Drosophila melanogaster: one gene and its partners. The protein of the gene in region 1 interacts with the protein of each later gene in a pairwise test. Each region holds a gene or a part of one and is shown in the gene's direction. Other genes may lie near its edges. The genes, in order: CG7173, U4-U6-60K, CG7655 and roh.

Evidence for each region.
Region 2: the proteins of CG7173 (region 1) and U4-U6-60K interact in a two-hybrid assay, tested with the Drosophila melanogaster proteins (one large-scale study listed by BioGRID).
Region 3: the proteins of CG7173 (region 1) and CG7655 interact in a two-hybrid assay, tested with the Drosophila melanogaster proteins (one large-scale study listed by BioGRID).
Region 4: the proteins of CG7173 (region 1) and roh interact in a two-hybrid assay, tested with the Drosophila melanogaster proteins (one large-scale study listed by BioGRID).

What each region holds. Positions count from the first base shown.
Region 1 is NT_037436.4:21,552,927-21,561,882, reverse strand, and holds CG7173 (uncharacterized protein), read left to right. Parts: upstream 1-3,656; 5' UTR 3,657-4,122; coding exon 4,123-5,592; intron 5,593-5,941; coding exon 5,942-6,131; intron 6,132-6,197; coding exon 6,198-6,232; 3' UTR 6,233-6,510; downstream 6,511-8,956. Other genes in the region: CapaR (capability receptor), read left to right, coding at 1-92, 377-527, 592-682, 742-941, 1,181-1,354, 1,411-1,485, 1,549-1,693, 1,748-1,907 and 2 more; Wnk kinase, read left to right, coding at 8,765-8,956.
Region 2 is NT_037436.4:17,508,651-17,516,981, reverse strand, and holds U4-U6-60K (U4-U6 small nuclear riboprotein factor 60K), read left to right. Parts: upstream 1-3,069; 5' UTR 3,070-3,200; coding exon 3,201-4,862; 3' UTR 4,863-5,127; downstream 5,128-8,331. Other genes in the region: CG7564 (uncharacterized protein), read right to left, coding at 1,252-2,514; Oatp74D (organic anion transporting polypeptide 74D), read right to left, coding at 5,887-6,068, 6,207-6,383, 6,448-6,591, 6,654-6,838, 7,173-7,536, 7,678-8,331.
Region 3 is NT_033777.3:17,678,382-17,685,720, forward strand, and holds CG7655 (uncharacterized protein), read left to right. Parts: upstream 1-4,287; 5' UTR 4,288-4,407; coding exon 4,408-4,734; intron 4,735-4,793; coding exon 4,794-5,228; 3' UTR 5,229-5,392; downstream 5,393-7,339. Other genes in the region: CG31251 (uncharacterized protein), read right to left, coding at 5,428-5,714, 5,774-6,306, 6,364-6,464; CG31360 (uncharacterized protein), read left to right, coding at 6,792-6,969, 7,032-7,150.
Region 4 is NT_033778.4:23,382,859-23,390,251, reverse strand, and holds roh (reduction of Rh1), read left to right. Parts: upstream 1-3,788; 5' UTR 3,789-3,954; coding exon 3,955-4,135; intron 4,136-4,206; coding exon 4,207-4,274; 3' UTR 4,275-4,788; downstream 4,789-7,393. Other genes in the region: Mtmr6 (myotubularin related protein 6), read left to right, coding at 4-246, 311-533, 594-731; eIF2Bdelta (eukaryotic translation initiation factor 2B subunit delta), read right to left, coding at 1,280-1,963, 2,020-2,580, 2,640-3,245, 3,425-3,454; CG30414 (uncharacterized protein), read left to right, coding at 4,926-5,139, 5,205-5,247, 5,303-5,550, 5,606-6,018; CG13551 (uncharacterized protein), read left to right, coding at 7,155-7,204.

The sequences.
Region 1 (8,956 bases):
ACTATGCCTGCGGCACCTTTAACTGCTCTCCAAAAGAGTTTGTGGCCTTTGTGCTTGGACCACAGACCTTACCACTTTACAAGGCAGTTTTGGTAAGTCTTCTGGAAGTGGATTAATTTTTACCAGTTTTACTTGTAATCAAAGCTTAAAATCAAATAACTTTTCTTATTGCCTGTTGTGAGTCATACTCAATAGTCAACAAATATCATTCCTCATCCAAGATATTAAATTAAAACTTTTATACAGCCATTTATACTTGTACATACCTAGGCTAAATACACATGGATATTGGTGAATCGGCTCTGCAATTTGCTTGCTTTAATCTAAGGTTTTAAATTGATAAAGCGATCATTCTGTTTGCTTAAACCTTTTCCAGATAACAATTATTTTTGGTGGCATATTTATAACCGGGGTCGTTGGTAATCTCTTAGTGTGCATTGTGATTATTCGCCACTCGGCAATGCACACGGCGACCAATTACTATCTGTTCAGCCTAGCTGTTTCAGATCTGCTGTACCTACTATTTGGTAGGTTAACTAAATAAAATAGGAAAATATAGTTAACTGAATATGCTGTTTTAAACAAAACTAGGATTACCAACGGAAGTGTTTCTGTACTGGCATCAGTATCCGGATCTCTTCGGCATGCCATTCTGCAAAATACGCGCATTTATTTCAGAGGCGTTAGTATAACTACTTTTGACTACACGTTTAGCCATTTATAAACCCAGCTGTGTTTCAGATGCACCTATGTCTCCGTCTTTACCATCGTCGCATTTTCCATGGAGAGATTCCTGGCCATTTGCCATCCATTGCACCTGTATGCTATGGTTGGCTTCAAGCGCGCGATTCGGATAATAACAGCTCTTTGGATTGTTAGTTTTATAAGCGCCATTCCATTTGGACTGCTCTCGGATATTCAATACCTCAACTACCCATTAGGTATGAAACTATTTACATCATAAGTTCCCTAGCAGTACAAAAATGGTGCTTGGTGCTCGAGTCAGTAGTTGCTCAAATGAAGTAAATTGCTGAAACCTTATAAATCAATTGAAATGGACTTTAATTTTGCGAGCGACCTGAACTTCACCATCCAACAGCCATGAATGGTTGAAGTATATTCTTTGAATAATATCCAAATAACATGAACAGGTATAAATGGCATTCGTTGCGCTTTTCAGATCATTCCCGCATTGAGGAGTCGGCATTCTGTTCCATGTCGCCCAAGATTGTTAACGAAATTCCCGTGTTCGAAGTATCCTTTTGCATTTTCTTTGTCATTCCGATGATACTCATCATTTTGCTCTACGGACGAATGGGAGCCAAGATTCGATCTCGAACGAACCAAAAATTGGGCAAGTACCTGGCTTTTATTGACCCCAAAAGATCCGACTTCAGGGATGTATTCCAGGTGTTCAACAAGGCACCAACAACAGGGAAACGAGAAACTCCCAAATGAGAAAGAAGACGGTTATTCGCATGTTGGGTGAGCTTTTCCCAATCAATCCCAACAGAATCCATCAATAAAGTCCCCGTTTAATCAGTATAGCTGCTGTGGTGATTACGTTTTTCGTGTGCTGGTTCCCGTTCCACCTGCAAAGACTCATATTCCTGTATGCCAAGAACATGGATAACTATTTGGACATAAACGAGGCACTCTTCTCGATTGCGGGATTTGCGTACTACGTTTCATGGTAAATGAACCCAAATTCTATTAACTTATTTATCTGATTCAACTGGCTTGACAGCACCGTAAATCCAATAGTGTACAGTGTGATGTCACGTCGCTACAGGGTTGCGTTCAGGGAACTCCTCTGCGGAAAAGCCGTGGGCGCCTATTACAACAGCGGATTTGCGAGGGATCACTCCAGTTTCCGGGAAAGCTCCGCCTACGACCGCGTTCATTCTGTAAGTTATTAAGTTATTGAAAGCACATTTTAATCCAACCTAACCTAATTTGGTTATTCTATCTCAAATTACCCCATAGGTTCACGTCAGAGCCAGCCAGCATCCAAATAAGTTCGAAACGGACTCCTCATCTGCAAATAGGGTGCTGATAAAGAAAACCTACAGCCTCCCGCTACCAAAAGTAATTAAACAGACCAAAATCATAAATACTCATTGAAGTATAGCATAGTGTCCTAGAGTATGATATAGTAGTAAATTAGCATAAATTTAGTTATTACAGATGCGCAGATTCTTTTGAACTGGAAATCCCAGAGTTATTTCCAAACTTTTCTGTGTCGCCGGACTCTCGGAACTCAAAGATACCTGGGCGAATAAATCAAATTAAAAAGTTATTTCACTCTGCGTCAATTTGTGTATCCTTGTAATTCCCAATGCTGAAGTTGCTTAGTATTCCGGCTCCATCCCCGCTTAACTTGATTTCGCTTTGTTTACACAAATACCCATGGGAACATAACTTTTCCTTACATTGCCTGTTGAGCGAATTAAAGTGCTCGTATGTGATTGTTTGAGTTTGTGAAATAGTAAAATACAGGGCGAATAAATACTACATTACTTTTCACCTGCTTGTATTCCACGTGTGTATATTAACTTTGGACCTTGCACTTCCAGAATGCGGACTCCACGGTCCTGAGCACCACGGACATTGTCATCGTGCTGGAAAACAGCCACACAGTTTGCGAGGAGCCCAAAGTTGAGAACGATATTTGGATCGAGAACGAGGAGACTTGTATTTAAGCACGAGGCCATTTCAACATTTGTAGTTTAAGCCAAGGACGTCGAGAACAACCTTTTGTAGAACTAATTTAAGAGCTAAGAATTGCGTATTGGGAATTTAGTGATATGACTGGGAGTCTGTCTAAATTCAAATGTGCCCCCGCACAAAGGAGATTTATTTATTTCTACAACATCTCATAATATTACTAAATAAACCAACTGAGTTTTATTGCTACCGAGTTGTTTTTTTTTAATTGTGTTAGGTCCTTATAAATATTTATTTATACATAAAAAGGTAATCAGTTCCATTTTCACAAACTTACTGGCCACAAAAGAATCTGAGATATTTGAAACTTTATGGAATAACAGGGCTTTTATGAATGAATACATTAACGAACGATTACAGTTTCGAGCGATTTGCATAACAATGATCCAAATTATCGTTTTCATGGCTTGTTCTCTCGAAAAAGCAGTGCCAAATTGACGACAAAAGCGAAAGTTGTACCCATTATCCCAGTATCTATAATTAAAAACATTTTCACTTTTACATGAGGTAAATAACCCTGCATTCACAAGTCTCAGACATCCAGCCATCTGGCATTCTGTATAAGCAAATTAATCTCTGATGTTTGAGGAACTCCGAACCAATTACGCATAGGTCTCCAAAAGATCTTATCTCCGATTTACTTTCACCAGCACTCAAGATAGCCAGATTAATGAGCATACCTGGCCAATGGTTCTGTCGCATCTGGAGCGATGTCACGGTGCCCCGAGGCTCGAGTGCTCCATCTTCGTGTCGCGATATGATCTCTCGGGGATCTCTCGGTGGACACCACATGCACATCCAAATCCAAAAACATCGACATCGACATCGACATCCACATCCACATCCACAGCAGCTCCTCTATGGCAGCAGAGGCAGCATCTCAAAACTGGTTTAGTGGCCATTCCGACACTCCGAATTCCAGCACAGCTAGTTCAGAAACGTTCCATTTGCCACTCAGTTGCTTTCCAACCGACGGCACCGCCGAAATTCAAGAAGAAAGTAATCGGATGGATGTGGATGCTCGAGACCCTCCATTGATTAACGGTGCTGCGGCGTTGGAACCACAGGCTCTAGAAAAAGTGCCCATCTTAAGCTGATATGGCGAACCAAGTCGGTTTTAAATAGATATACATAGATAGCTGCATCTGGGCCCAGAGACGAGGCCACCACATTGTATTTGGCTGCAGTGCCGCGAGGCGTTCCATTTTTATTTAAACGACTGGCCGGATAACAAAGAAAGTGAGATCAAGTCTGCGCGATCGTGGATCGTCGAATGGAAAAGAAGCTTCGCATGTGTGCGTGGTTAATTCGAAAGAAACTTTTTTGCTTTTGGCCGCGGAACTGACAAATGTCAAATACCAATAGACCGTCGTGGAACGAAGACGAGCTTTAAAAATGACTCAGAGTCCGCTTAAGTTGGCCCCCATTTTGGAGGCCCTAGTTCTGATAGTGGTCCTAATCAACCAAGTGCAGTGCGGTGAGAATGATATGAGACAAGCGCGCATAAGGCAGTTTCTGAGTGAGAACCAGCCCCTGGCCCAGCACCATATCAAGCACAATCGGCCGCCGGGTCCCGGACAACTGCCCCGGATAAGATCGCGATCGGATAACCTGGCCATGCTTTCTGGTGGCTCCAACAAGTTCTTGCGGTCGCCGCAACCTGCCACTGCGCAGCACATCATGCGTCGCGAGCAGTTCGGGAACTTTCCTGCGAACGACCAGCTCAGGAGGTACCAGTTCGACCAGAGTCAGCAGGGCAGATTCGCCCACGTAAAGGACACTCCGGTGCTAGATGTGGGCAAAAACCAGTTCCCACTCCAGTATGTCTCCGAGCAGTACATTCAGAACTTCAAGTCCTCGCCGCGCTTCAATGGCAATGTGATCATGAAGGACACCAAGCCAGTGTACGCACCCATCCAACAGCATGCGATTCCCGTCCAGGCCTCCCAGTACCTGCACTATCCCAAGCTCTTCGGACAGCAGGGATCTCCCAGTTTCAGTGTTGTCCCTACCCAGCAAACTGCTCTCCAAAACAGCCAGTTTCCCCAGGATCCAAATAGCTACTCTGTCTACGAGGATACCGATATACCTGCGAAGCAGGCGGTAAACTTTCGCCAGGCAGTGCCACCACCAAAGGAGTCCAGGGAGGCGCAGGACTACCTGCAATTCATGAGCACCAACGAGTACTTCCTGCCCAAGAGGGATCCTGACTTCAAGAAACTGGACGCCGAGCGGGACCAGCAGAAGCTGCTCCACCAATATCCACAGCAATACAGACAGCAGCAGCAGCAGCAACTGTATCAGCAACAACAGCAGCAGCATCAGCAACCGCAGCACCAGCAGCCGCAGCAGCAACAAGCGCTGCAGCAACATGTTCCCTACAAAACTGCTGGCCTAGACAACTCAGTCTCCTCCAGTTACAATGAGCCCATACAAGTGTCCGACTTGTTCTACCAGCAAGATCCCGCTCCTGCGAATTCCGCAGTGGTTCGCGGCAGTTACCAGGCAGGTCAGGATGTCTTCGTTGTCAAGTCCGACGGCAACAAAGCCGTTAAGCATGTGGTCTCTACTCCCATGGCGGTCCAGACCACCACTCAATCGCCGTCGAAGAGCCAGCACCTCGCCAAGACCCACAAGAGCTTTACCCCGGAGCCTCTGCGATTCGAGTTCACCGAGCAAGATGCCATAAGGGGATCGATGAAGTACACCCAAGCCCCGCAAGCCAATCAGTACTACTACGAAACCGTGGCCCAAGCTCCCCGCGAGCCCGCGAAATCTCCTGCCCCGAAGATTGAACTCAGCAAGCCCATTAAGGAATACACCGATGACCCAGAGGATAGTTCCGACACTGAAAGTGGAAAGCAGGTTGGTTCTGTTTCTCAATAAATGTGAAAACCGCAAGTAGCTTATATAAGCTAGCATATTTGTTGGCCAAAAAGTGGCCACAAAAACAAGCACTTCCAACCTTTAAGGCATTTTATAATGATTTTTACGCGATTTAGTGAGTACTTAATTTCGATCAAATCGTTTACGGGTTTAAAATAGTACTCTTCTTTGAAAAAATAAACTTAAAAAAATAGTTGATTCTATCAACTCAAGCTACAAAAATTATACGACTCATCAAATACCAGTAACAGTTTTTCCTAATAAGATCAAATTCTTTTTGCTGTGAATTTAGCTCTTACATTTTTAATTTTAAATTTGCCCATTTCAGCAAGATATTCCAAAGGTGCCCACTGTGACGAGTTCAGCTACTCCTGACGATCCAAAGGACACGGAAAACTACTGCGAGAAGATATGTGCTAATGTGTACGATGAAAACGATGAAATAATCTGTGGATCCGACGGATACATGTACACGGGCGAAACCCAACTGCAGTGCTATTCGTCATGCCTCAATATAAGTAAGAGTTTCATACCCAATATATGTATTGTCTGTATATATTTTAAACCAACATGTTCTATTCCAGGTGTGACGATTAAGAGTAAAGGATCTTGCTCTTAAACTAAAATAAAATAAAAAACTGTTTTAATTTAATTTATTCTAGCGATTACAAAATATGCAAATTTAGTGGAAATGGTAAAATGTAGGGTTTTGTAAAAAGTGATTTTGATTTGTTGTTCACGTATAAAAATATCGTGCACTTATAGCTTTCCTATTCATTAAAGTGATAACTTATAAACTATTAGTGCATGTATATTTAAGTTCTACAATATATTTGTATGTATCTCAAAAATCATTCAGAGAAGTTAGTTATAATAAATAAATTAACGAATTGCAAGAAAACATTATCGAAAATCATATTTATATATATAAAATAAGAGACTATCTGGGCTTTTTGCCTTAGGGGCAAAACAAAAGAGACAGGAGCATCTTCTTGCTGAATAAGGGAAACCTGTATAAGGGTTTGGAATTTATTAAGACTTTGTTAGGTGTGGTTTTTACAGCTGTAATCTGTTTGTAATCTGTTTCATTATGGCAGGCAAAATGAAATTTAAAAAAGTGGCTTAATGCTTAAAGGTTATACAGTATTCTTAACAATGTTATAACTCGTTCGAAGAGTAACGGTCTACTGTTCAAGTTAACAGAGGCCAGGTAACATCTCTGCTAATGCGTAACATATATATTAGGCAAGCTGGTAGCTTGGGTGGCATCACCGCCGATAACACTTGTGTAACAATATGCGCTATCGATAGATCACGAACACAAGTAAACCCAGTTGCTTTGTAAAATTTTTTGTGAAAGTAAAGGGAACTTCTGGCGAAATAACTTCAATTTTCCGCTGACTCTCGCACGCGTTCAATCCAATTGACCCCCCTTGTGGAGGTGACACTATCTCCCGAAAGACTTACCAATCCCCCGTGCCGTAATATGAAAGCTTGCTAGCTCGAATTGCCTTTGAACACCACAATCACAAATTGAAATCCTCGATGCGAACGATCCGACAGTCGCAGTGCGAGCCCTAGACCCCGTCCCGGTCGTAAATCCCCAACTCGAGCACGATCCCGTCGAGCGAAGGACTTCCGGAAGGAGCGGCGTGGAAACATGACATCATAGTCGCTGCATATGCTTCCTGTCCCGAATCAAATGTACATAAATATGTATGTATAGCCAGCGTACCGCACATACGCACATATCCCTCGCGACAGAACAGAACAGAGTAGAGTGGAACGGCAGAGCCAGTGACGAACGTAGTGCAATCGAAACTAGTGATTCATGGAAAGCGCACACCTCGGCCTCCTGGAGACGGCGCCACTACCTCCTCCACCCAGCTGTAAGCGATATTTCAGACGTCGGCACCAAGCAACGAACATAAGTGGGTGTGGGAATGGTCACCTTTCCCTGCTCCTGCCCCTGCCCATGTCTCTGCCCCAGTCCAAGCCAGTTCCTCCTGTCAATAGTGCCGGAATTTAACCTTTGCTCCATTCCTCCATGCCTTCATGTACTCATTCACCGCCTTGCCTCTCGCTTCAGATTAAACGTGGTGGTCTGCTGCTAAAAATCTTGCAAAATTGGACAAACCCTCTGCGACTTCGTACGACAACAAGAGGTCGTACCTGCGAACCGTGCTCGGAAGGGAAGCGCCATCAGCGAAGATGGTACTACCTCCTGCACCACGCAACCTCAAAGGTGAGTTGGAGTCATTGCCAAAACATTTAGGGAATATCTCTATTTATTTAAATATTGTTTTTATTTAAATCAGGGCACATAACAAAAAATGATTGAAGTAACAATCGTTGTTTCATATATGCCTAAATAACGTAAAAGCTGGTTTAAAATATCCTTGTATGTAGTGTGTTAAACTGACCAAGTATCCTACAAAGGATTTGTTTCCCTAGGATACTAATTTTTAAATATGCTTCAACTGGAATTGTTACTTCAACGTCTCTGTTTTAAGCAAAACTTACTAGATAAACAACACGTAAACTGAAACCGTTTTTTCGTTTATCGAATGTTTATAAAATGTTCTTGGAAGGAAGTTTACTGAGAACTGTGGAAAACTCGACTGTTGTACCTGTGAGTCTATAGAATCTAATCAACTACTTCTATCATTCTTTTAGGAATACCTCAATTTCTAGCGAGGAGCAAACTGTGCAGGGAGCTAATATACAAAAGTCGGGACACCGTTCGTTTAATAGATCTGCCTCCTCTAGGCAAAAGCCGAACCCGACATCAAAACTAAAAGACACACTAAACAGAAAGCCCACTTGCAAGCAGGGCACACTTTCTGCACACACGAGCACTAGCAGCACCACTTCAATCCAGTCATCACCTATCGAGCCAGCTTCTTCTCTACCCACGCTGAACACCACGCCTACACCACCAGCTGCCAGCAAAAGTAACCTATTTGTGCGGGTGCTAAGACGCTTTTCAAATAACACCCTTCCCGGCAAAACGGCGTCAAGCCCGAAAAACGTGGACGACGTACCGAAAGTCAACGATAACAACAACGGCGATTTAGGCAAACAGCAATCAACCGATGTAGAGGTGCTTTGCTCTCAGGACAACCAGAGCAGGGAACAGAATGAGGACGAAATGGATAGCAAAATAGAACCTGCAGATGCCATAAGCAACCAGAAAGCTGGTCTTACTTCGGGCAAACCTAAAAAAGACAAGTCAGTCAAGGGGACGTCGCAAGCGGTTGTTTCAGACACCAAGAAAATGGAGGCCAGAAAGTCCTCCTCGGACACGGTGATCGAGCCATTGATCAAGCAGCAGGCGCCACTG
Region 2 (8,331 bases), 4.0 Mb from region 1:
TTAATTCAATTGCCTCTAAACAGCTACGAGATTAAAATTTATTTTGGTTTGTGGTGATTGTATTTTTTATTATTTATTTTCAAGAGAGAGAGAAAGGAGGAGGAGAAATACGTACGTTGGGATCTGGATCGCCGAGAACCCTAGAGAGCCTGGCTTGCTTATGGGGCACCATTATAGTCGTTATATGTATACGTACCACAGTCGTGATCTTCTAACATTAATACGTACCCAGAACCGAATAAATAAACGACACTCTCATTCGACGATTCAAAAGGAAACGTCGTCGGCCGGTATGGATACGTACCCAAGCTATATTATCTGGATTATCTATGTAATACGCATATCTGCCAAAACAACTAACATTGGTCTGGTATAATGTATATAGTCACCTCGCCATACTCAATACGTACCGAAGCTGTGCGAGAGTTTAAGCGGCTGCGAAAGTGTGGAACGGAACTTCAAGTAGAGAACGCTTTGGGGTTACAAATCAAATCAAATCATATCATATCAAATGAAATCAAATCAGAGCAGTGATGGAGTGTGTCAGAGTTAAATATGGTGGAGGCTTACCCCAAAGCGGGACGACAGCGATGCACAACACACGTTGACTTCGACTGGGTGAACGTGATCGTTAGCTGAGAAGAGTACATGGTCGAATGTGGTCAGGTTTGGTTGGGTTTCAGTCAATGTTACCAACTTGTAGCTAGCTATACAACACACAAAATATCATATATTAAACGTTTCTCCTGCTCTGAATCCTTATAAATTAGTTATCTTTAACTTGACTGCCGCTGTGTCCTAACCGAATTACAATGAACTGAACTTTAATTGACAACACTGCCGATTCGTTGGGATTTCTATTTTCTGTTTGGGTTTCTGTCTCTACGTGCCAAGTACACTGGACTGGACGGGGACTATATAATTTCAATCGCATTATATCGAGTATATCGTTTCTCTTAAAGTTTTTATTGAGGCTGGGGTCTTGGACTGCGTTCGGTTTACTTTGGGGTAGTAACAAAAATTTGTCATTAGAGGTTGGAACGCAAGATCAAAAATAGAAATCAATTAAATTATTAAAAATGTACAAAGGTAGTTGTATCTTCATATTGGAGCGTCGAAAGTGTGGCTCTAGGTTGCTTTATTGGTTACGCTAAGAATATTCGGTTCCTGTTGTTTTCAGTAGTTCAATTTGTGGTGGCATTATAGTTCATGTGATTAATGCTACGTACGTGCGCTGGGCGGGATTCTAGCCTAGCGGCGGTAGTTGCGCTCACGGGAGTAGGATCGTTTGCGCTGGCCATTTCCGCCGCCACCACCATCCCTGAAGTGGTTAAAGTTCCGCCGTTCGCGTGGCGAGCGTTCCCTGGACCTTGAGCGGCGTCTGTCGTCACGGTGATGGCCACCGCCTCCTCCACCGCCGCCTCTGTCACCAAAGCGTCCTCTGTCGTTGCGTCCATGTCGGTCCCGATCCCGCCTGCCATCGCGTTCCCGTTCGCGATGATCCCTGCCGTGGTTGTCCCTGTCATCTCGCCGTCCTCCACGATCTGGTGCCCTTTCGGCTCGCTCCGGACCATCTGCCGCTTCCTTGGGTCGCTCACTCCCCTTCTCCTCAGGACCGCGTCCGTTGTTGGGGCGTTCGCGGTCCCCATCCCGGTTGCGCTGTCGTTCTCTGGAGCGGGAACGATGTACGCGAGAGCGGCGGTCCAGTTCACGACCACCTACAAAGTAGCGATTGCGTCCGCGTCCCTCGTCCTCGCGGTCCGTCATCTTACCCGTCCGCTTGAGCTCCGCCTTCCGCGGCGCCGCCGTCTTCTCCAGTTCGATCAGCTTTTCTCTGATAGTGAGGAATCCGAGATGTAACTTACCACCAAAGTGGTCCGCCAGACGTATGTCATTGTCGTGAATCCCGAGGTAGGCGGAGCATACCTCGCAGACGCGCAACTTTTGCTGCTGGTAGGTGGATGCGGGCATAGATGTGCGGTACTCGTGCTCGGCCTTGATCTTCTTAGCACGCAGCTCCTCGATCTCCTTCATCAGCTCCATGCTGTCCTCCACTTCGCCGGCCTCGCCCAGGGCCTCGGCCTTGGCCAACTTCTTGCCAATCTCCTCGGCGAGGCCATGGACAGCATTGGCCTTCTCAGCCACCTCGGCGGTCAGCTCTTCCTGGGTCTCTTTCAACCTTTGCTTGGCGGAGTCGGTGCGTCGATCGCAGTCGGCAATAAAGGCCTGCAGGTGTTCCATGGCCTCAATGTCGTAGTAGTAGTCGCGCGTCTTGGCGGCACTTTCGTAATCTGCGCGGAAAGCCAGGTCATGCACTTTGGGACACTCACCGAGATCCATGCGCGTGGACGCCAGGATGTCGTGCGGACAGCAGTCGAGCAGAAAGGACTTGCAGACCCTGGGGTCCGAGAATTTCAGTTGGCGCTCGTCGCCATTCCGTGTGGTACCCATAAGCTGGTCCAGCATTGCTCGCATCTGATCGGTGGCCGACATTTTGTTGCTCGGCGCGCTCATATCCTTCTGGCCAGGAGCGCGTGAAAAATGCTGCAGCGGTGGCAGTGACAGCTATCTCACTGGCTTTGTGACCAATAGCGTGCGACGCGTGTGGAAATTCTCAATTTTCACTCACTTTTAATCACCTAAGAAAATTCTGTGCGTGCGTGCGTGAGGATGTTCTAAAATGGGGTAGTGCTGAAAAACAGTGCTGTGAAGCACGAGTAGGCGATATATCGGTGAAAAGTCACGGTTTCTGGGAGTAACGGCTTTTGTTCAGATCCAAGTATATAGATTATTGTTGATTAAATGATTAAATAAAAAACAAAGGCACATCATTTAATTTCCAAGAACAAATGTAGTTCTCTCTAATAACGGTATATCGCGATCTTAATATAAAATTTTATTAAACACGTGGAATAAAGTTTCAGTTTTAAATAGTTATTGTTTTAAATATAATTTAGAGTTTCAAAAACCGTTCATTTAACAATAAACAACAAACAATATCGATCTAAAAACTATTGCTTATTCGCTGCATACCGCTCTAAACATCGGTGATGGCATCACTAAACCACCCCTCTCGGCGTTGCTCAACACTAGGCAGCAAAACGTTTTCTTTACGGCAATATTTTTTGTTGTTTCTTCGTTGTTTCGGCGAAATTTTATTTTAAAATTAATTATTTTGCACTTGTTTGCTGGCCGCAACGATGTCCGATGACGACGATATACAGTACATTAAGCGGCAGCGAACGCTGCACTATGGATCGCTCGAGGAATCGGAACGCAAGCGGCAAAATGCCGCGGCGTCTGGGGCAGCAGCAACAACAACATCGGGAACGACGGCATCGTCTGGGGCAGGAACAACAACAACTGGAACAGGCGGGCAACTGGAAGACATCGATTCCGATGAGGATTACGAGGAGTCCACGAAAAAGACAAGCAACGCCAAGCAGGCCGGAGCACCACCACCCACAGCCGCTACTCTGGCCAACAAAATTGACGATGACTACTTCGATCTAGAGATGGAAATGGAGCGCGACAAGGTGGCGCTCCTTGAGGAATTTGAGCGGAAAAAGCGAGCACGACAGATAAATGTGTCCACAGACGACACGGAGATCAAGAGCAATCTGCGCCAGCTAAACGAACCCATTTGCTATTTTGGAGAAGGACCGGCGGAGCGAAGAAGACGTCTTAAGGAACTCTTGGCTGGATTGGGCGAGAACGCCATCAACAAGAGGCAGTATGAGGATGAGGAGCGCAAGCAGCAACAGCGGGAGCAGGATCAGGCCACCTGGTACCACGAGGGACCCGATAGTTTGCGTATCGCTCGACTCTGGCTGGCGGATTATTCCCTGCCGCGCGCCAAGGATCGCTTGGTACGAGCACGTGAGGCCCTTGAAGTGCCCAGCGCAGCACGTGCCGGCCGAATGGTGGAGATGCAGAAGAAGCTCCAGTCGCTGGCTCCACTGTGCTCCCAGGTGGGTGACACACGGCCCGTGAGTAGTGCTGCCTTCAGTGAAGACTCCTCACTCCTTCTGACCTCCTCATGGTCGGGTCTCTGCAAGCTGTGGAGCGTGCCCGATTGCGAGCTGAAGCAGACGCTGCGTGGACATGCCAGCTATGTGGGCGGAGTGGCTCTGCGGCCGGGAGTTAAGGCAGACGAGGAGAACGTGGTGGCCATGGCTTCCGGTGGCCACGATGGCGCCGTCAAGCTGTGGGGCTTCAACAACGAAGAGTCGATTGCCGACATCACCGGCCACATGCCGCATCGCGTCTCTAAGGTAGCCTTCCATCCTTCCGGCCGCTTCTTGGCCACCGCCTGCTACGACTCTAGCTGGCGGCTGTGGGATCTGGAGCAAAAGACAGAGGTGCTTCACCAGGAAGGGCACGCAAAGCCGGTTCACTGCCTTAGCTATCATTCCGACGGCAGTGTCCTGGTCACCGGCGGTCTGGATGCCTTTGGACGAGTGTGGGATCTGCGCACTGGGCGGTGCATCATGTTTCTGGAGGGACACTTGGGCGCCGTTTTCGGCGTGGACTTTTCTCCAAACGGATTCCACATAGCAACAGGGTCCCAGGACAACACATGTAAAATCTGGGACCTGAGGCGACGCCAGCCGGTCTATACCATTCCTGCGCACACCAATCTGATTTCGGACGTGAAGTACCAGCAGGAGTGCGGCAGCTTCCTGGTCACCTGCTCCTACGACTCGACCACCAAGATCTGGTCCAACAAGACGTGGCAGCCGTTGAAGACGCTGCAGGGCCACGACAACAAGGTCATATCGGTGGACATCGCGCCCAACTCGCAGTATATAGCCACGACCTCATTTGACCGCACATTTAAGCTGTGGTCGCCGGATAGCTGATTTTGATACCATTACTTTATTGTACTCACCTGTGGGCGTACGCAGACAATCTCCACTTGCGATCTGCCCGCTGGGCACGACTTACTCATCAACTGTTTTTGTTATTTCAGAGACAATAGCCCAAAACATTTCAAGTTTTCGTTTTGTATAACACAATTTGTTGTTTTTGTTAGGCGAAAGGCAGATGCAGCGATGTTGCATTTCGTAAATTTAAGACTTTTTTATTGAAATTGTTAATAAAAAATACATTTTTGGTAGAGAATTGAATTTTAAACGGGTTTAAAATTGGGAAAGGATTTACTGGCCCAACAACTAATCAGCCTACAACTTGTTTCTAATTTATAAGTAAGGATAACTAGCAACTTTTCCTCTTCATTTTTTAATTATCCTTGAGCAGCCCATCCTCATATTTAAACATCTGTTTTTATTACTTGTATATAGTTTTCCATTTAATTTCTTTTCGTATATATTTGTTGTATGACAAACTTAGACAATTAATTTGAATTTTAACTAAAATTTAACTACCACAGATAGGTTGCAATTACATACATACATGTAAGTGTATGTCTAATATATTAATTATAGATTACATACATCGCGATATAACTGTTACATATAGTTTACACATAAGGATTCATAAATTTTCTTGCACTTTGCACAATTGTCGATCAGTTTGTAGTATTAGCTCGTCGATTAACTACGCTCATGCATGACGTTAGATAATGTCTAGAATTTCATTTCATTGTTTCGCGTTGAGATTTACAAGGATTCAAATCGCAATCCATGGGCTTCATGTAGAATATGGTGCTGGGATTTGGAGCAGGATCGGGAGCGGGAGCTGGACGAGCGCGTTCTAATGTGGATTTGAATGAGGTCTCCCGACGCTCGAAGATGCCACTTAACTAAATACATAACTCTTGCACTAGGCTAACAAACTAGACAAATGATAACTAATTAACAATTAAGGTAAACGTTTATTGGAAATCCTGCAGCTTGTGCAAGGCTCGTCGCCGACCCGCTCCTCCTAGACCGTCGTGTCCGGCGCCGGGGTGATGGGCTGCTTGGACTCGGACACCTCCAAGGTCCTTCCGTTGGAAGCGGGCCCGCCCTCCTGCGGATCCTCGGGCGCGATGTCAATGCGATGCGCCTTGCGCCACACCACCAGATCCATCAGGAATGCCAGGAACATAATGCCAGCCGTGATTCCTGGGAATTACAGATAGCTTACTAAGTATTTCTGTTTATAAATTAAGGGACTATTATCTTGCATAGTAAGGTACATAATCACTCAGAGATTAGTAATTTAGATATTTTTTTTATATTTTCCTATAGATTCTGACTCACCTAGGAAATATTGCCGGAAAGTGTCCGCATCGTAGAGTGAACAGGCGCCGTGCTTGCCGCACACCGACTTCCAGATGAGGCAGGCGGAGTCCACCACTGCGCCGTAGATGATGGGACAGGGAACGTTGCCGAACAGGCCGATGGCCGACTGTATCACACCCATGGCCATGGCCTTATCTGCGGGGAATTAAGGGTTTTGTTATCGTTAGTGTAACATCTGTTTGCCAATCCTGGTTATTACCTTTGGGGTGTGTGCAGCGCATGACGAGCAGCATGCTGCCCACCTCGGAGGTGGAATGCATAAATACGCAAATGGCAAAGATCAGTATAAAGTAGATGAAGTTCTTGCAGTTATTATCACAGTAACCGTTGACCGCCTCCGGAGCTGAAAGGTGCAAAGGGATTAAGATACTGAATCTTAGGGCTATGGCAATGGGTGCATCTCACCATCTGGAATGCAAGCACAATCGGAGTAGAGTGTGCGATTGTCGCTGGGCCGCAGTGAGGAGCTGCTGCATCCGGCGTGGCAGGCCGAGATGTACATTTTGCCGTCGGCGCAGATGGGCGCGAAGTTCTCCTTATCACAGGTACAGTTGAGAGCGGCACTGCACGTGGGCTCGATCAAGGCGGGACTAGCGATGGATTAAAATAAGTTACATGTTACTAGAGTTACTCCGTATATCAAGTGTAAAAAGTCGACTTAACACGAATTACATTTTGGATTTGATAGCTAGCTTATAGCCCCACTTTCCCGCAGTCCCACTTAGTGCAATATATTAATTCTACATGTATCCAAAAATTAAAAGGATACTATTGTTGCGGAAAAAGTTTGCATACTTATGAGGGCAGTGGTATTGGTTCATGTTGGTTGGATCTCTACCTTTTCAAATGCTATCTTTATAGTTTACTTATATTATATAATTATAACTAATATGTAATTAAGCAAGAACTTCTTCGATGACCCACCTGTTGCCATCGCTTGGCTTGTAGCCGGCAAAGTCGTTCATGCTGCAGCCGATGAACATCAGGATGATCATGCCCGCCGAGTAGACGAGGGCTGTAAAGGCGATCCAGGCGGCCACGCCCCTGGCAGTGGGCTTTCGCTTCAGGATGAAGAGCCCGGAAATGACAATACCTATGCCCATGACCAGGATGCCACAGAAGGCGGCGATCATGTTGGCATCATAGGTGGCCAGCCGGAACTGCGTCTCCAGATACTTGGGCAGGAACGTATAGAGACCGGCGATGGGCAGCAGGTGGAACACGCACGAGGCGGTGCGGAACATCAGGATGTCGTTGCTCAGCTGGCGACGGACTGTCTTGGGAAAATCTGTATGGGTAAATTTTAAGATTTAGTTCCAGATGGAGTAAGGTGCATTGATTGGCTGATCTGTTGATGACAGAGGCATGATTATAATCTAAAATCTTTATCATCAAATACTAAAGACCAAGCTATCTTTGACATTCTCACCTTTTAGCTTGGGCTTCTCCTCCGGCTCAACTGGAGCTGCTGGAGTTGCTGTCTGCCCCGGCGGCTTCTGCTTGCCTCTCAACTGCTTGGGAAACGAGAACATGGCGATGGAGGCCAGCAGCATGAGGCTGCCAATGGCCACAGGCCCCAGCCACCAGGCGCCAATCCAGCGCGGATCCGTGGCGTCGAAGCCGGGATTCGAGAAGTTGACATACCAGCGAGTGCAGAAGCTGCCAAAAATGAAACCGGATGCCGGTCCCAGGATCCTCATGCCAATGGTGACGGCCATGTACATGGGCGACTGCTTGCTGCCTACATTGTCATCGATGTAGGGTATGCCCAGTGTGGCCACGGCGGTCTGGCCAATGCCCGAGCTGAGCAGGCTGCCAAAGAAGATGCACAGCACGATGACGGTGATCTTAGAGTGGGAGGCCTGTTCCAGCTGGCGCTCCTCGTTGCACTCGCTGCCCGAATGGGTTTGGTTGCCACCCAAAATGCACAAATTGGGATTAACCTGTTCACTGCTGGCATTCAGCCAGTGTGATGAGAAGGAATTATTGGGGGGGGAGACCTGCGTCTGCTGCAGAATTACACTGGAGTGCATCAGCTGCTCGCCGAAGATGAAATGCGGCAGGGCGCAGGAGAAGGCGGCGA
Region 3 (7,339 bases), on another chromosome or scaffold:
AAAAAATAATCTCAAGTGTGGAAATGTTAGAAATGCTTTTTAGGGTCACTCGTGTATATATTTTTGCTATCAAACTCATTTCGTAGCATTATCAGCTTTTTTCAGCTTGAGAACCACTACAATGTAGTATAAACTGATGACGTGGGGGTCAAAAATCGAAAAACGCCGAAGAAATGCCCACTAAAAACGACAGATCAACGACACTACATTCAATGGCAATTACGCTTTATATAGCCGGATTGTTTGAGTTGAACGTGCTTATCGGTTTACCGGCCGGAAAATGGTTCAGAGCGCAACAACACAAGTTCTCCTTTTGTATGAACACGTTGTTATTGCTGCAGTTGACTGGGCTTGCTGGACGTTATATTAATAAAAACGCTGTGCGGTTGATAATTTCATTGTTGTTGTTGCTCTGCTGAGATAAAAAAAATGCACTGCTGAATGGCTCAATATTCCTGGTATTCCGGATTATACAGCTCAACTCGCCAATAAATCCCCATGAATTTCAAATTTAGGCAAAAAGGTCATTTGAATTTCATTTGGCGCAGGAAGGGCGATAAGAAATCTCAGCTGGAATTATCGATTCCTCAAAGAACTCAGCGATTAAGACGGAAAAATGTATTCCGGGCAGAAGTGGGGAGCCGACAAAGTCACAAAGAATAAAATTAGCTTATGAAACAGCAGCTGCTGGGCAGCCTTGAACGAAAGTTGGTAGACATTTCCAGCACCCAAAGGTGTTGACGCAGATTGAAAGGAACTCACATAACAATCCGAAAAAAGAATAACAATTTAAAATAACTCAAAGTCTAGATTCTGACGCACACGTATGCAAATTTGCCAATTCGCAAAAAAAATCAACACTGTTTAATCTATTTTCGTTAAACTCCACGAGTCTCTTCCAATGGACACGATGCGAATGCCAAAGGCTAGTGAAAAGATTCGCAGCAGAGCTGGGCTCGCAATTCGAGATCTCTCCTCAGCTCTCTACACTTGAAGCAATTCCCAAGATCGACTAAATATTTATTTTTGAATAGGTTATTTTCTGGATGTTTTCTGTAAGTGCAAGTTACGTTTTATGAGAGCAAGATTTTATTGAAGAATCAGCAAACAAATTTGCAATAAGTCTTGAGTTTAAAATATGCGATAACATTACTTGTATCATCAAAATAAAATACGTTTATATATTTACTCCGCCCAGTTATCTTTGAAACTTTAAAATAATATATATTTGTAGTTTGTACATTTTTGAAATAAAAAATACTAACATTACTAACAGAACGTTTTATTCTCAGTGTGCTTGCGCTCCGTGGCACTTTTCTCTCTTCGCTCCCACCACAGTTAGAACAAAACTTGAAATTTCGCTGACTCCGCGAGCTCAGTGGAAGAATTCACAAATTGCAAAAATTTCAATTCAAGGTTGTTGCTCTCTGCGGCTGCGATAACTGGCAGGTCGGGTATTTATTTTCCTCTGTTGGCTTGTCAAGTTCTGGCTTCTTATTTCTGCTGCTTTGCTGGCTCGCGTCATGTTTCTGGCTAAAAGATACTGACTGTGTTTCTGTTTCTTCTTATCCACAATCAACAAACATTTCTAAGGGGCTTTCAAAAATACTGGGTTACGTGATACTGGGTAGATGAATAATCCGTATACAGCAAATCTTTCCAGGTTTACTCTATCTACATATAACTAACTCTTGATTTCATTTATTAACAAATGTAACCATTTTTAGTGTTTCCAACTGTTGTATTGCGACCATTGTGACAATTTAGATGGTTCATAGCATCTTCACTACAATTTATGAAAGTTTTTACAACTCCAATTGTCTATTATCTAGTCCTATGAAACCGACATTCATTATTACGGATGGGTGGACTGACCACAAAGTTAAATTAATATTTAATGGCACAATGGAAACGGGTTTCCGTCAAACAAATCGATGGCGTTTAACGGAAAGTAAGTAAAGTCCGGGCTGCGGATTCCGATTCCGTGAGTATAGAGGCGGGGGAGGAAGAAGCAGCAGAAGCGGTGGCGGCAGAAGAGAGCCAAAGCCAAAAGAGAATAAAAAGCACAATAAAAACGCCGGTAAAGGTCATCAACCGGAAGAAAAGCGCCCATGTGTGCGTGAGTGTGACTGGCCAGTGTTTTTGTGTGAGTTTTTGTATAAACGAGTGTGTGAAAGTCGAAATCTTGCTGCCAATTATCATTATGACCATCTATAAATAATTATGTATTATGGTCGAACAGCATGCAAAACACGCTGGCTGCTCGGCCTCGTTACAGCCAACTGACAAACTGGCAAACTGACATCGAACTGCACAGTTGGCCTAATTTTCCCGTTTTTCTTTCTATCTTTCTGTGCCGTTGCTTCCCTCCCTCCCCCTTTCTTTTGCGGCGCCCCAGTGTTCAATTAGCTGCCTGCTCACACACACACTCGCACTTGCTGGCACATGGAATTTCTCCCCTGTTGGTGAGCCCCGGCCAGAAATGCCAAGTTGACCATTTTCTGGCCTTTGAAGGCAGCGTGTTTGAAGTGGGTCAAGTATTCGCCAATGCGATTACATCTCTTCAAATGGAAATAAAAAAGTTATTGATCCTCGTAACTGTGTATAATTATTAAAGTCCTTATGCGAATTATAAATGTCTAGATTTGTTTCTAAAAAAAAATTGTTTTTCATAATCAACTTACATATCCTAATAACTTCTTAAAACTGAAAACTTCCAATCTATCTAAAATTTAACCGGGTTCTCCATTTTATATTATTTTTGTTCTTTCATAAAAAAATAATTTGAAATTATACTTTTACTAGCTTGCTTTCGCAGCAGCATCACTGATAACGGTGCAAGTGCTTTCCTCGCTCTCTCTGTCACCGCTGAGCGAGAGCGTACTCGCACTCATTCATTATTTTTCATCTATTTATTCATAAATGCATTTTTTGCCCCTGCTATTTTCAGCGGCTCAAGAGTTTTAATTTTAGAAAGCACTGCTCCCTACTTTTCGTCTTTTTCTCCCGTAATATTTATGCAACATGCAATGCTGCTTTATTTATCTCTGTGGGAAAGAAAGCGTGGCATGTTTTTTGCGGTGTGTGGTGTCTTCTTGTTATTCCTGCGTGGGAGCGTCAGGTTCCAAGTTCGTTTCCCTAATTTTTTCTTTTGGTCCACAGATGGAAGGTTGGTCTAAAATGTGGAGTGACTCATAAAGGCTATAAATAGGCAAATTGATATTGTCTAAAGCTGGCGGTTAATGATTATTGATTGCTGACGTAGACGTCGATAGCATTTGTTGATTGTCAATTGGTTTTCCCCGATGACGAACGATTTTTGAGTCTATGATTTATTGGACTGCAGCTGCTCTGCTCCGCTCTCTCTTTTGAGCTCTGCTCCGCTCTCGCTCCTTTGATAAGCCCGCATATGCTTATGTGTGTGTGTGTGGTGAGGTCAGCGCATCAATTATGCTCATTTCTTGTCTTTTTCTTTGATAAAATCAGCGAACAACAAATGGGAAAGGGCGGGGGCAGGGCCCCGGCCAGACGGCGGCGCCCGAGATTTTTGGCAAATCAAAGCAGTCAGCTGTCCCCTTTGCTCATAATTAAGCAATGGGGAGCAGTGAAAGTGTGTCGACTACTAATTGGCACCTTGAATAATTGCACACCGATAAATAAAGTAGTGGCTTCCTTTTTCCTCTCAAGACAAAAGGGCGTCGCACTGCACTTACACACATACATGTACACCGCTCTCCCCTTCTTATCTCCAGTCTCTATACTTCTAACGCTGATTTTCAGCCGATTTTAAGCCACTTGCAACGTCAACAATTTTCACAACATTTCACATTTACAATGCAGTCTTTCTTTTCCTTCTTCTTTTCTTTTTGTTGGAAACGCATCCGCCATTTGCAAGCCACTTGTGTATGTGTGCCGGAGCGCTGCGCCTGTTTGAGTGTGTGTGTGTGTTGGGTTGTCGCGTCGACAGTTTTTTCATCACTTTGCTTGGATTTAGATACGCTTTATCAAACCAGTTCTTACTTGCAACTGTTAAACTTTTTCTCAACTTTCTTATGCCTTTCGGCTGCGGACTTACACTTTTTCGTTAGTGGGAAAATTGAAACATTTGCAAACAGAGTGACCGTGGCGACATACTCCAAAAATCGCGCCAGTCACATAATAGTCCTAAATTTGGACAACTAGCGATGACTCAAGCCGCCGGATAAATGCGCTATGTTTTTGTAGCCGAGACACGCTACGTGGGGAGAGCGATGTTTTTATCGTGGACACAAACCAAATTGAAATTCTTCACCGAAGATTTTATCGCGACTGTGCCATGGTCGCACTGATTAGCTCACCGAAACGTTCATTGAATTTGTTTTGATTATCTCGAAATAACAAGCTATTTTCTCAATTTTCCTGACAAAAATGACATCGATTGCCAAGTCCATAGTACTATTGGCATCCCTGGCCACGTTCGCTTACTCCCTGTACGTGGTTGGCAGCCTGATGATGTTCCTTTCGACGCCTCGTTCGATTTCCAAGGCGCACACCTGGATTTTCAATTTACTGGACAACAAGTCGCGCCTGCAGACCGCCTATGGACCCGTGGTGTTCGATACCCTCTACCTGATCGGATTCATCTTCCAGCACAGCTTCCTCAAGTCAGCCGTGGTCAAGAAGCTGTTGGCCAAGTTGGGATTGTCGGGTGCGGAGCGCACTATTTATAGCCTGACGTCATCGCTTTGTTTACATGTTTGTATACCCACAAATTGGACAGAAATAGCTCCCAACTGCAACTTTGGACATTTCAGTATTTGATCGTCAACTGGCTGCCCGCTCAGTCGATTGTTCTGTGGCAAATCGATGTGGAGCAGAGTGCTCCGCTTTGGTGGACCTTCGTGATCACCCATGGCATCTGCTGGGTTGTCATCTTTGGCGGCAGTTTGGTGATGGATCTGCCAGAGCTGCTGGGCGTCAAGCAAGCCTACTACGATCTGAAGGCCTACGGACCGCCCATCAGCTACAAATCCGGGGAATTGCGCAATCTGTACGCCCATGTCAGACATCCCTCGTTTGTGGGCCTGTCGGTCATCCTGTTCGCCACGAATGTGATGAGCGTGGATCGGCTAGTCATGGCCTTGCTGCTGACCACCTACATGTACCTGGCCTGGTCCACAGATCAGAAGGATGTGGCCTATCAGAAGATTCAACTGCAGCGCAAGAAACTCGAACTGAAGGCCAAGTAAACTTAATCTCAAAAGTGTTCTTACTAAGATCTAGTTGTAAGTTGACATGAGTTTGTATTGAATAATACTTTTCTAACAATTTCAGTTTCCGAATCAGAACGAAACAAATAATGAAAAAACTAAAAGATATATAAAAATATATATGGTTCAGTTTTTACTATTTTACTACTATTGCTAGCTTAATTAATTATTTTAAAATTTAACTCATTCTTACGATAGAAGGATCAAAGGGCTGTCCTTTAAACGGCGAACCTTCGGCATCCCAGGCAGCTTTCAGGCGATCCAGGTTTATAGCTTGGTCGGGACTTGAGGTCTGAATTTCATTTTGTTGCTTGTCTGCTGCCAACTGCTGGACCCTAAGCTTTTCTATGGTGGCCTGGGTTTCCTCCGGCAAATCATCTATATAGCGTTCGCATTCAATCTTCTTGGAATCGATTTCTGGATCACCTTCGAAGAGCCGATCCCACCAGAGCTCCTTTGCTTTATCTACAGTTATATACAGTTTATGAAAATGGTTTATAAAGATGTTTTAGGTGAATGCCCACCGTAACTTATGATCAATCGGTTCTGATCAATTGTCCACACCGCCTCCTTGTGTTTAATCCGCTGGCTCAGGTTTCCCTCGAGGATGATCGTCTCTGGGCTATGCTTGCTGCTCACTTTGATGTGCTGGGCCTGAATTGAAATGTGCAGCTTCTTCGCCGTTTGATGATCCTTGGGAAGCAGAGCCTGCACCTCCACATCCTTGAGGGTTTGTGACCAGCAGTGCGTTTCGAACACATCTCCGTTTTTGTAGTCGCTGGGGGAGAACTTTGACTGCTCCTTCCCTTTTTGTGGCGGCTGGCTCTCTATGGGTTTCATTTCCTCGTCCTGAGGACCATCTTCGCTTTCCAGGACCACTTCTTCGACGGCAGGCGGAGCCGTTTCTCCATCATCTGCACCGCCTTCCGCGGTCAGGGATTGTAGCAAGCAATCCGGATCGTAGCGCTGCATGGCGCCATATAGAATCTGATCCCTCACGCCTTTGGGGAAGCCTATTTTATCCGCTTCATCGCGTTTTGTGTGATAAAAGTCGGTGCTAAAAAGGGAAGTGGGACTACAGTTTTGTTAAGGATCTTGAGATAAAATCTTTTACTTGCGTCGCAGAAATCCGAAAATGGAGTCCAGGAAACCTGTAATAGTTTTCCGATCCTGCAGAATTTCCATGAGCATAGCATCGTTTCGCTGAAAGTCCATTTTTGTAAGAATAGTAACCGGCCGCTTTTAACTTAACATCTAATGTTCACGTCTATCGATAACAATGCATTTAAATCGGCGATAGCTATTAAAAAGATAGATACATATTAAAGATTTTAGAGTGTGGTCAACATATATAATATTAATAGGAATCTAGTTCTATTAGAAAATAAGGTCAATAAAGCATTTGTTGATCGAATTAACAAAAAACCTAGTTTAGTTAACACAATCAAGTTGGCAGCCCTGCGACAAACTTGGTATATCGATAGTTGTCGCCTTATTTTCCAAATCCATTCCCAAATTGTTATTATTGAAATAATTTTAAAAATGATCGGTAGACTTTCTTTTTGGAACAAGGACAACGTTTCCAACGAGGTGGACTGCTTGGCCTGCCGTCTGGTCAGTGGCCTTGGACTCCTGGGAATTGGTGCCTTCCTATTGGCACAGTCGAAAAAAAGACAAGCGAAACCTCTGGAGAATTTCACTATGAAAGGCTTGGCTGCAGGTGAGCCACTTGGGATCTTAAATCCGGTCTTATGTTTACTCCTTTCTCCTTCGTCGCCATAGCCGTTGGAGTTCTGGGCGTGGCCCGCCTGGCAGACGCGAATTTCCTGAAGGCAACCGCCGAGAAGCCAAAAGAACAGGAAAATACTAGCACTGATCATCAGTTCTTTTCTAGACGTTAATTCAATGACGTTTTAATTATAATCGTAGAGTCACTTAATATATAAAGGTTAATGTTTTCTTTTGTACGACCATGTGGCATTACAATAATATAGCTGTAACCTTGTTTTTAGAATTTTTTCTATTTAAAATCGTTGAAAACAAAACCTTGTTTGCTTTAATGAATTTATGATTTATTTTAAATAAATTAA
Region 4 (7,393 bases), on another chromosome or scaffold:
CAGGTTCTGGCGCGGCATGTACAGTCGCTTCGAGAGCGGCATTCATCCGCGGGAGCCACTGGGCGACGTGCTGCTCGATAGCAAGGAGCACTGCAACTCGCTGGAGGACCACGTGCAGCATCTGACCAAGCGCATAGCCAGCTTCAAGAACTACATTTCCAAGTCGGCCAAGAAACTGCAAGACGCCACCAGCGCCCCTGGCAAAGTGAACAAGGAGCTCTCCAGCAACGAGATCAATGACAACAAGTGCGTATGATAGATATTAGTTATTATGCTATAGTATGCTTTATAATCCATCCGCTTATTGCAGATACAACTACGATAAGAAGCTTAGCGAACTGTCTGCCGCCGACGACGATCATCCGCTGAAGGCCAGCAACATGTCCTTCGCCAGTCTGTCGCTGAGCGCGGAACAATCCAGTCCGCCGCAGGCGCTGCCCGAGGAGATCAACTCCGTGGCCGTAGACTGGAAGCCCATGCGCAACGTAACCACCTGCTCCTGCTCCACGCCCTTCGATCAGTTCAGCAAAAAGGTGGGTAACTCCGCGTACTTAAGCAAGCCTGCCACTGATGATGATCCAATCCTCGAATAGACTCACTGCTGGCGCTGCGGGGACATCTTCTGCGAGCGCTGCATAGACAAGAACGTGGCTCTGCCAGGACACGACAGTGGAAAGCCGGTGCCGGTGTGCCGGGGCTGCTTCCGGCAAATGCAAAAGCAAAGCCCGTAGAGGCAAGGCAGGCAGGATCGAGGAATGGAGCGGAGCTAGGGTGTGCAATCGATATGGAAACGCTATTAAATTTATTGTGTGTATTTATTGTTGCATTTGTAGACTTAGCTGCTTGTAGAAGCTCATTCAAGTTGTTGCAAATGGAAATCAAAAGAGCAAAACCAAATCAATCCACCAGCGATTGGCTTCCAGGCATCGTCCTAGTCTATAAGCCGGGCACAAAACTGTATTTTGTTATTAGAATCTAGAGCTACATATTTGCTAATCCCAGCCCCACCCGCACGGAAAGTACAATTGCATGTCAGAGCGCAGACTTGCTCTTGATCAAAATATTTATAATTTCCGAGGAACTCGGCGGTCTGCCGGATGTACAGACACTTGGGCCTAGCCCTCCTTCGCAGCAGCGGTCCCTGGCATCAAGCATATTCCACTAGCATACCCGTAAATTATGAACTACGCATCAATCTTGTTTGTCGATTTGATCAAAGTGTAATAAAACTTATTTATTCAACAACTGCGAGTTCTACTGAGCGATCGATGAAGTCTGATTAGTAGCCAATGTCTGGCTTGATGCGGAGTATGACGGGAACACTGGTGCAGGGCAGGATGGCCACCTCGGTGACCACGGCACTCACCAGCTCCGGCGGAGTAATGTCGTAGCTCAGGTTGAGCGGCAACAGCTTTCCCTTGGCCGCCCAGTTGCTTAGCTGGCACTTGTCGCCGCGCACCAGTTGGTTGGGATCGCTCAGCTCGTTGTAGACGATGGCGTCCGTCTGGAAGCGCTCGCTGAACTTGTGCGTCTCGCAGCACACGAGCACCGGCACGTTGTGGGCATTGGCCACCAGGGCCACCTGGGCGGTGCCCGTTCGCGCCATCACGTATCCGTTGGCCAGCAGGGCGTGTGCTCCCAGCAGCACCTTCGTGGCCTCCGCCATCACATAGCCCACGGCGTTGATCAGCACGTAGGTGCACGGGATTCCGGTGGCGTGCAGTCGGCGCAGCAGCTCCTGGCCTTCGCATCCGGGTCGCGAATCGACGACAATCACGCGGAAGGCCACCTGGCGCCGCTTGGCCTCCTCGCAGATGAACTGAATGAGGGAGGAACAGGCGAAGGTCAGCAGCACGTCGCCATCGGTGATCTTTTCCTGCAGAAAACCGCTGATCGCTTGGGCCGCCTTGCCGATTTGATTTTCAATGTAAGTATCGATGAAGTGGACGAGCAGCTCCTTCGACTGTTGAGCAAATGCATGTTACCAATTGAGTTAAAAAAATATATTTTGATTCTTACCTCCGTTTCGGGAACATCCGCCGGCAGCTGTGTCAGTTGGTTCTTGAATTGTTTGTACGCATTGGACACGGACACGGCCAGCGGTCGGCACTTGTGCAGGTGGTCTACGTGGTGCTTCACGGCGGCGTCCAGGCTGCGACCAAACTCCTTCTTGGCGGGCGTCTCAAAGTCGTGGACAACCTGGCGCAGGGCGTGCAGGAAGGCAATGCATCGAGCATTGGACCCCACCACCGTGCGCTTGGCGTACTGAACACCCAAGCGCGCAATGCTCGGATGAACGAGTGGATCGTTGATGAACTGGCTGTCTTCCTTGGCGCACACCAGATGGTTGAACAGCTTCACCCGGCAGTCTACATTGGGCGTGCTGGCTGGACATTTGACGGGGGAACTGCTGGTGGCCGCTGTGGTGGGGGAAACGCTCTTCCGGTTCGGCCCTTTGGGAGCTGCGCTGGGTGGTGCCTTGGCTGCATGCTGGGCCTTTTTAGTCTGTACCTGGGCCTTGGCTGCCCGTTGGGCTTCTTGGATAGCGCGACGCTCCGCTTTGCTAAGAGCTGGCTTTTTCTGTGCAAGGTGAGGTGAGATGTATATGAAGCAAGGAAATCATAAATGTAGCAAGTTACCTTTTCCTGGTCCGCTTCTGTTGTCGAAGGTGCAGCACTGGCTGCGACTGGAGCTTTTTCTGCTACTTTCAGGTCAGCGAGCTGTTGTGCGATGCCCTCTACCTTGGCTCCCCCGCCTTTGCCAGCTTTCTTGGCTGCCTTCTTGGCCTCGCGTTCCGCCTTGATCTGCTCGCGTGTCTTTTCACCCGCCTCCGCATCCTTGCCATTTACCGCAGCTGGCTGAGTCGTCTTTGAAGCCACTGCATCCTGCACCTTTGTTGTGGTGGTGGTCGTCAGCTTAGTGGTAATGGTGGTCTGCTCCACTTCAGTGATGATTTTGGTGGCCGGAGCAGAGGGAGTGGTCAGAACAGCAGGAGTGGCGGCAGTAGGAGTCGGTGCAGTTTTCTGTTTCTTGGCCTGCTTAGCCAGCTTCTTCGCCTCCCGCTCGGCCATTATCTGGTCACGAGTCTTCTCCGTGGCCAATGGATCCACAGCATTTCCGGGCATTGCACTCGTGGCGTCGATGGCTGATGTTTCTTGTGTCGTTGAATGGCTGTCTTCCAGGCGATTTCGTTTGTTGCGCGGTCGATTGCGTTGCCTTTGCTTCTTGTGCTTGCTCTTCAAAGTCTGGGCGTCAGTCCCAGTCCAGATAGGGAGTACGGAATTAGTTATTGATGTAACAATATGTAAAACTATCAAACTGTTTGGATCAAATACGAAATCAAATCGGCCGACATGCTAAATCAAAACTAAATTTGGGAAACTCGCTACTTGGCAAATTAGTTACTAAGAGGCAAGCTAGCTACCTGTGGCACCTGTTCGCTAGTTAAAACCATTTTGAAAGCTTGAAAAGAGAGAGACATGGCAATTAAGGTGAAAAAGGATGTGAAAAGGTTAAAAAAGGTTCAGACTCCTGTGGCGGTGCAATTAAGATCCAAGCTGAATCCTGCGTCTATGGGTAAGCACGAATGCTGGCTTATAGCACCTAAGCAGTGTGCTTGCTGTCTTTACCTTACGATTCTATATTATTATTCGGGAAAAGTAACTCGAAAGTTTTGCTCACGATGGCAAAAAAACGTCCACCAGTTGATAGCGATGTAAGTGAATCGATAACCGTCTTGATTCGCCGCGGTAAACACATGGCCGGCCTTGCCAGACTCGCTAGCAGCCAGTGTCATTTTTGGTGCTTTCCTCGCCGCACGAGTTGGCATTCCCATAGCTGTCTTTTATTTGTGAGGTTCGTATGTTCGTCTGCCGCCTCCGAAAATTACATAATTTTTGCGTAAATTGATTTCGTTTAATTCGACCCTCCACAGCTGCGAATTCCACGACTACCATGGCCGACAAAGCTGCTGCCGAGAAACCCGCTGGACGCCCCATGCGCTACCCATACACTTTCTCCGCGAAGATAGCCCAATTCCCCATCAAGCACTACATCAAGAACCAATGGATCTGGCGCTACTACTTCATTGCGGCCGTGGCCTGCGTGCCCGTGTTCTACAAGATCAGCAAGCTGGGTGCGTAACACTCGCCTCGCGACCTCTGGGCCCCTTGTACTAATGCACTTCTCCCTCCTGCCCATTTTCAGCCAACTCGCCCGAGAACAAGAAGGCATGGGCCGAATCGCAGGCCAAGGAGCACGCCGAGCACCACTAGGCGGCCAGTAACTTAGTCTTAATTGTCGCATCAACATTTCAGAGCTGTTTGTGTCGGACCCAACGTGAAATCGGCGAATAAATGATTTGAAACGAGGTTAAACTTGATTCTTATTGGAGAGTGCACTGCAACATCCAAATACGGTCTTATTATGCGGCTATGACACCACCTATGAGTTGAGTTCGGTCACACTAATGATTTGTTATATGAAACACAAATTAAGTTGCTTGTTACTATTAAAATTCATAACTAGCAGCATTTAATTGGATTTATTAAAGAATAGATTAAATTATATTCCACAACTGATCGCGATGAATATTCGTTTACCCAGATAACTGCATTTCGAAGGGTTAATCGAGAAGCTAAGCAGGAAAAATATTCAAGTTCAAATTTGTATAAGTAGTTGGCGCAAGACAAAGCATCACAGGGGTCTAATTTTTGGTAGTGAGTTGGAATTTCCCCAGATTCGTAAATAAAATAAAAATAAAAAAGTACTGAGAGCACTCATTAAAACAAAACACTGATTCCTATCATATCCGTTTCCGTTGACGGTCATAAAGAGTGTACTGTTATCAGCTGGTCAACATAAAATTCCTCAAAAATTACCTCAAACTCGACTAAGCTTGCCAGTCGCTCCATTACCGCGAAAAGATGAAGTTCATCGCAGCTGGATTAGCTCTTCTGGTCTGCTCCATCCAGTTGGGTGAAGGAGCACCTGGTCACCTGCTAGACTCCAGTTGTGGCACGACAAAACCAGAATTTATCCCAATGATCACCGGGGGCGCAGACGCAGGCCTATTCTCAAATCCATGGATGGTGAAGGTGCTAGGCGAGAAACTATGTGGTGGCTCGCTAATCACCAGTCGTAAGTATTCAAATGTGGCCCACGAATGAGTTCTTTGTCCAGTCACCTGCTGCTAATACTTTCAGGCTTCGTTCTCACGGCCGCCCATTGCATCGTTAGTACACACATGTAAGTGAGGCAGCACTGTCTTTCGGCGAACACTTACGAATTCCCATTTCCACAGGAGAGTACGCTTGGGCGAGTATAAAACCCGCTTTCCTGGCAAGGATTGCTCGCGCTGCGTGCCCAAGTCATATAAACTCAGGAGAATACGCTTGGGCGAGTATGACACCCGCTTTCCTGGCAAGGATTGCTGCGTGCCCAAGTCATATGAACTCGCTGTGGATAGAAAGATTTTGCATGCGGATTATAACCTAAACTTGGACAACGACATCGGCCTGTTGCGCATGAAGAGCTTCGTCCAGTACTCAGGTAATGAGGTGGATCCAGCAGCCAGGGCTCCCTAAGCAGTGGACATATCTTTCAGACTACGTCCGGCCGATCTGTCTCCTGGTCGAGGGACACATGGCGGAAAGTCCCATCTTCAACATCACCGGCTGGGGTGTCACCAACGATGGCACGCCCAGCCGGAGGCTCCAGAGGGCCACTGTGTACAACACCGACCTCCACTTCTGCCGAAGCAAGTTCACCAAGCAGGTGGATGAGTCGCAGATTTGTGCTGCTGGCACAAATAGCGATGCATGCCACGGCGACTCGGGAGGCCCGCTGAGCGCACAGGTTCCTTTTGCCGGCAGCTGGCTGACCTTCCAGTACGGACTGGTCAGCTACGGGTCGGCGGCATGCCATTCCTTCTCCGTTTACACCAACGTTACGCACCACAGGGACTGGATTGTGAACGCCATCGAAGACTTCAGCAGAGCTTTCCAGCTTAGACTCTAGCTACTCATAATAACATTTCGTTGGCTTTTCTAAGAAAATATTATCAATCCAAAATATTATCTCGAGTGGTTTAATGGCTCCCCTGACTTCTGTCGTAGACGCCATTCGGGTCAATAATATCTGCATTAGTATTTATGTACATAAGCGAAGCTTATCTTCAGCAAATTTTAACGCTATACGCAGCGAAGCCTCGCTTTGACTGATTCCCCAGAATTCTGGGGAAAAACCGAACCCTTGGAGAAGGTTCACTTCTACACCCTCACTGGCTGGGGTCACACCGCAGACTATAAGCCCAGCCGCATTCTCCAGGAGACCACTTTGCTTGCGCTCGAACAATCGTGTTGCAACAGCAACTTCAACATCGAAGTCGACCAGTCCCAAATCTGCACCACTGGCGTGGACAGCGATGCCTGCGGTGGGGATTCCGGGGGCCCGCTGAGCGCGAAGCTGCTCTTCGGGTTAAAGAAGCGGGCTTTCCTGCTCGGACTCGTCAGCTACGGGGATGCATCCTGTAGGATCTTCGAAGTGGCCACGAATGTGACGCACTACGTCGACTGGATTAAGGCAACAATCGACGAGAACTCAAGTTAAAGCGTTAAAGCGTCAAGTTAGAGTCCAAGTCGATTGAGAATTTAAATTTGTTGCTAGTAAGAAATCTGCAATTGAAATATTAGTTTACCATGATTAAGTAAACAACAGAAGAAGCTTAGTTTTATTTGCAGTATGCAAAGGGTATAAAGCGTTATCGATTAAAATCGCAAGCTCACATATTCGATAGACCACGCCGACTGTGCTCGCTCTGCCGCGAAGGTATTATTTAAGGGTGCGCCTACGGTCACTCTGCAGAAAACTTTTGTCGTCGCAAAAATGTAAGTAATGTTCAAGCGCGCCGCACTTTTCCGGCATTAAATCTAGTATGTGCATTGGGTATTCGTGTATATATTTTATACAAACAACAAACAAAGAACTGGCTAAAAATAGCGGCTCTTTTATTGCGACTTGGTTTTCGAAAAAGTTCAATGCACTCCGTTTTGTTAAGGAGACGGCTTTACAGTTACTCTTCGTAATGGAGTTTTCTCAATAAATTGTATTTTCTGCGCTTCTCTTGCAGCTAAACTACTCAAGAATCAAACAGAATGTTCGTTGTACGTCGTAGCGCATCTCGTCTGTACCCCGCTGGAGTCCAGTGAGTTTCTACCCACATTTAACCCCCGTTCATAACTACCTGCTAATTGGCTTACAAGACTTAACAGAGCACTCATATCTCATTCGCCATATTCAAAGTGTTATGTATGCCCCCAACTTACACTTTCCTCAATGTTCGATAAGATAAACAATTCCGATCCCATCGAAATCGCTTTCACCCTGCGCGCAT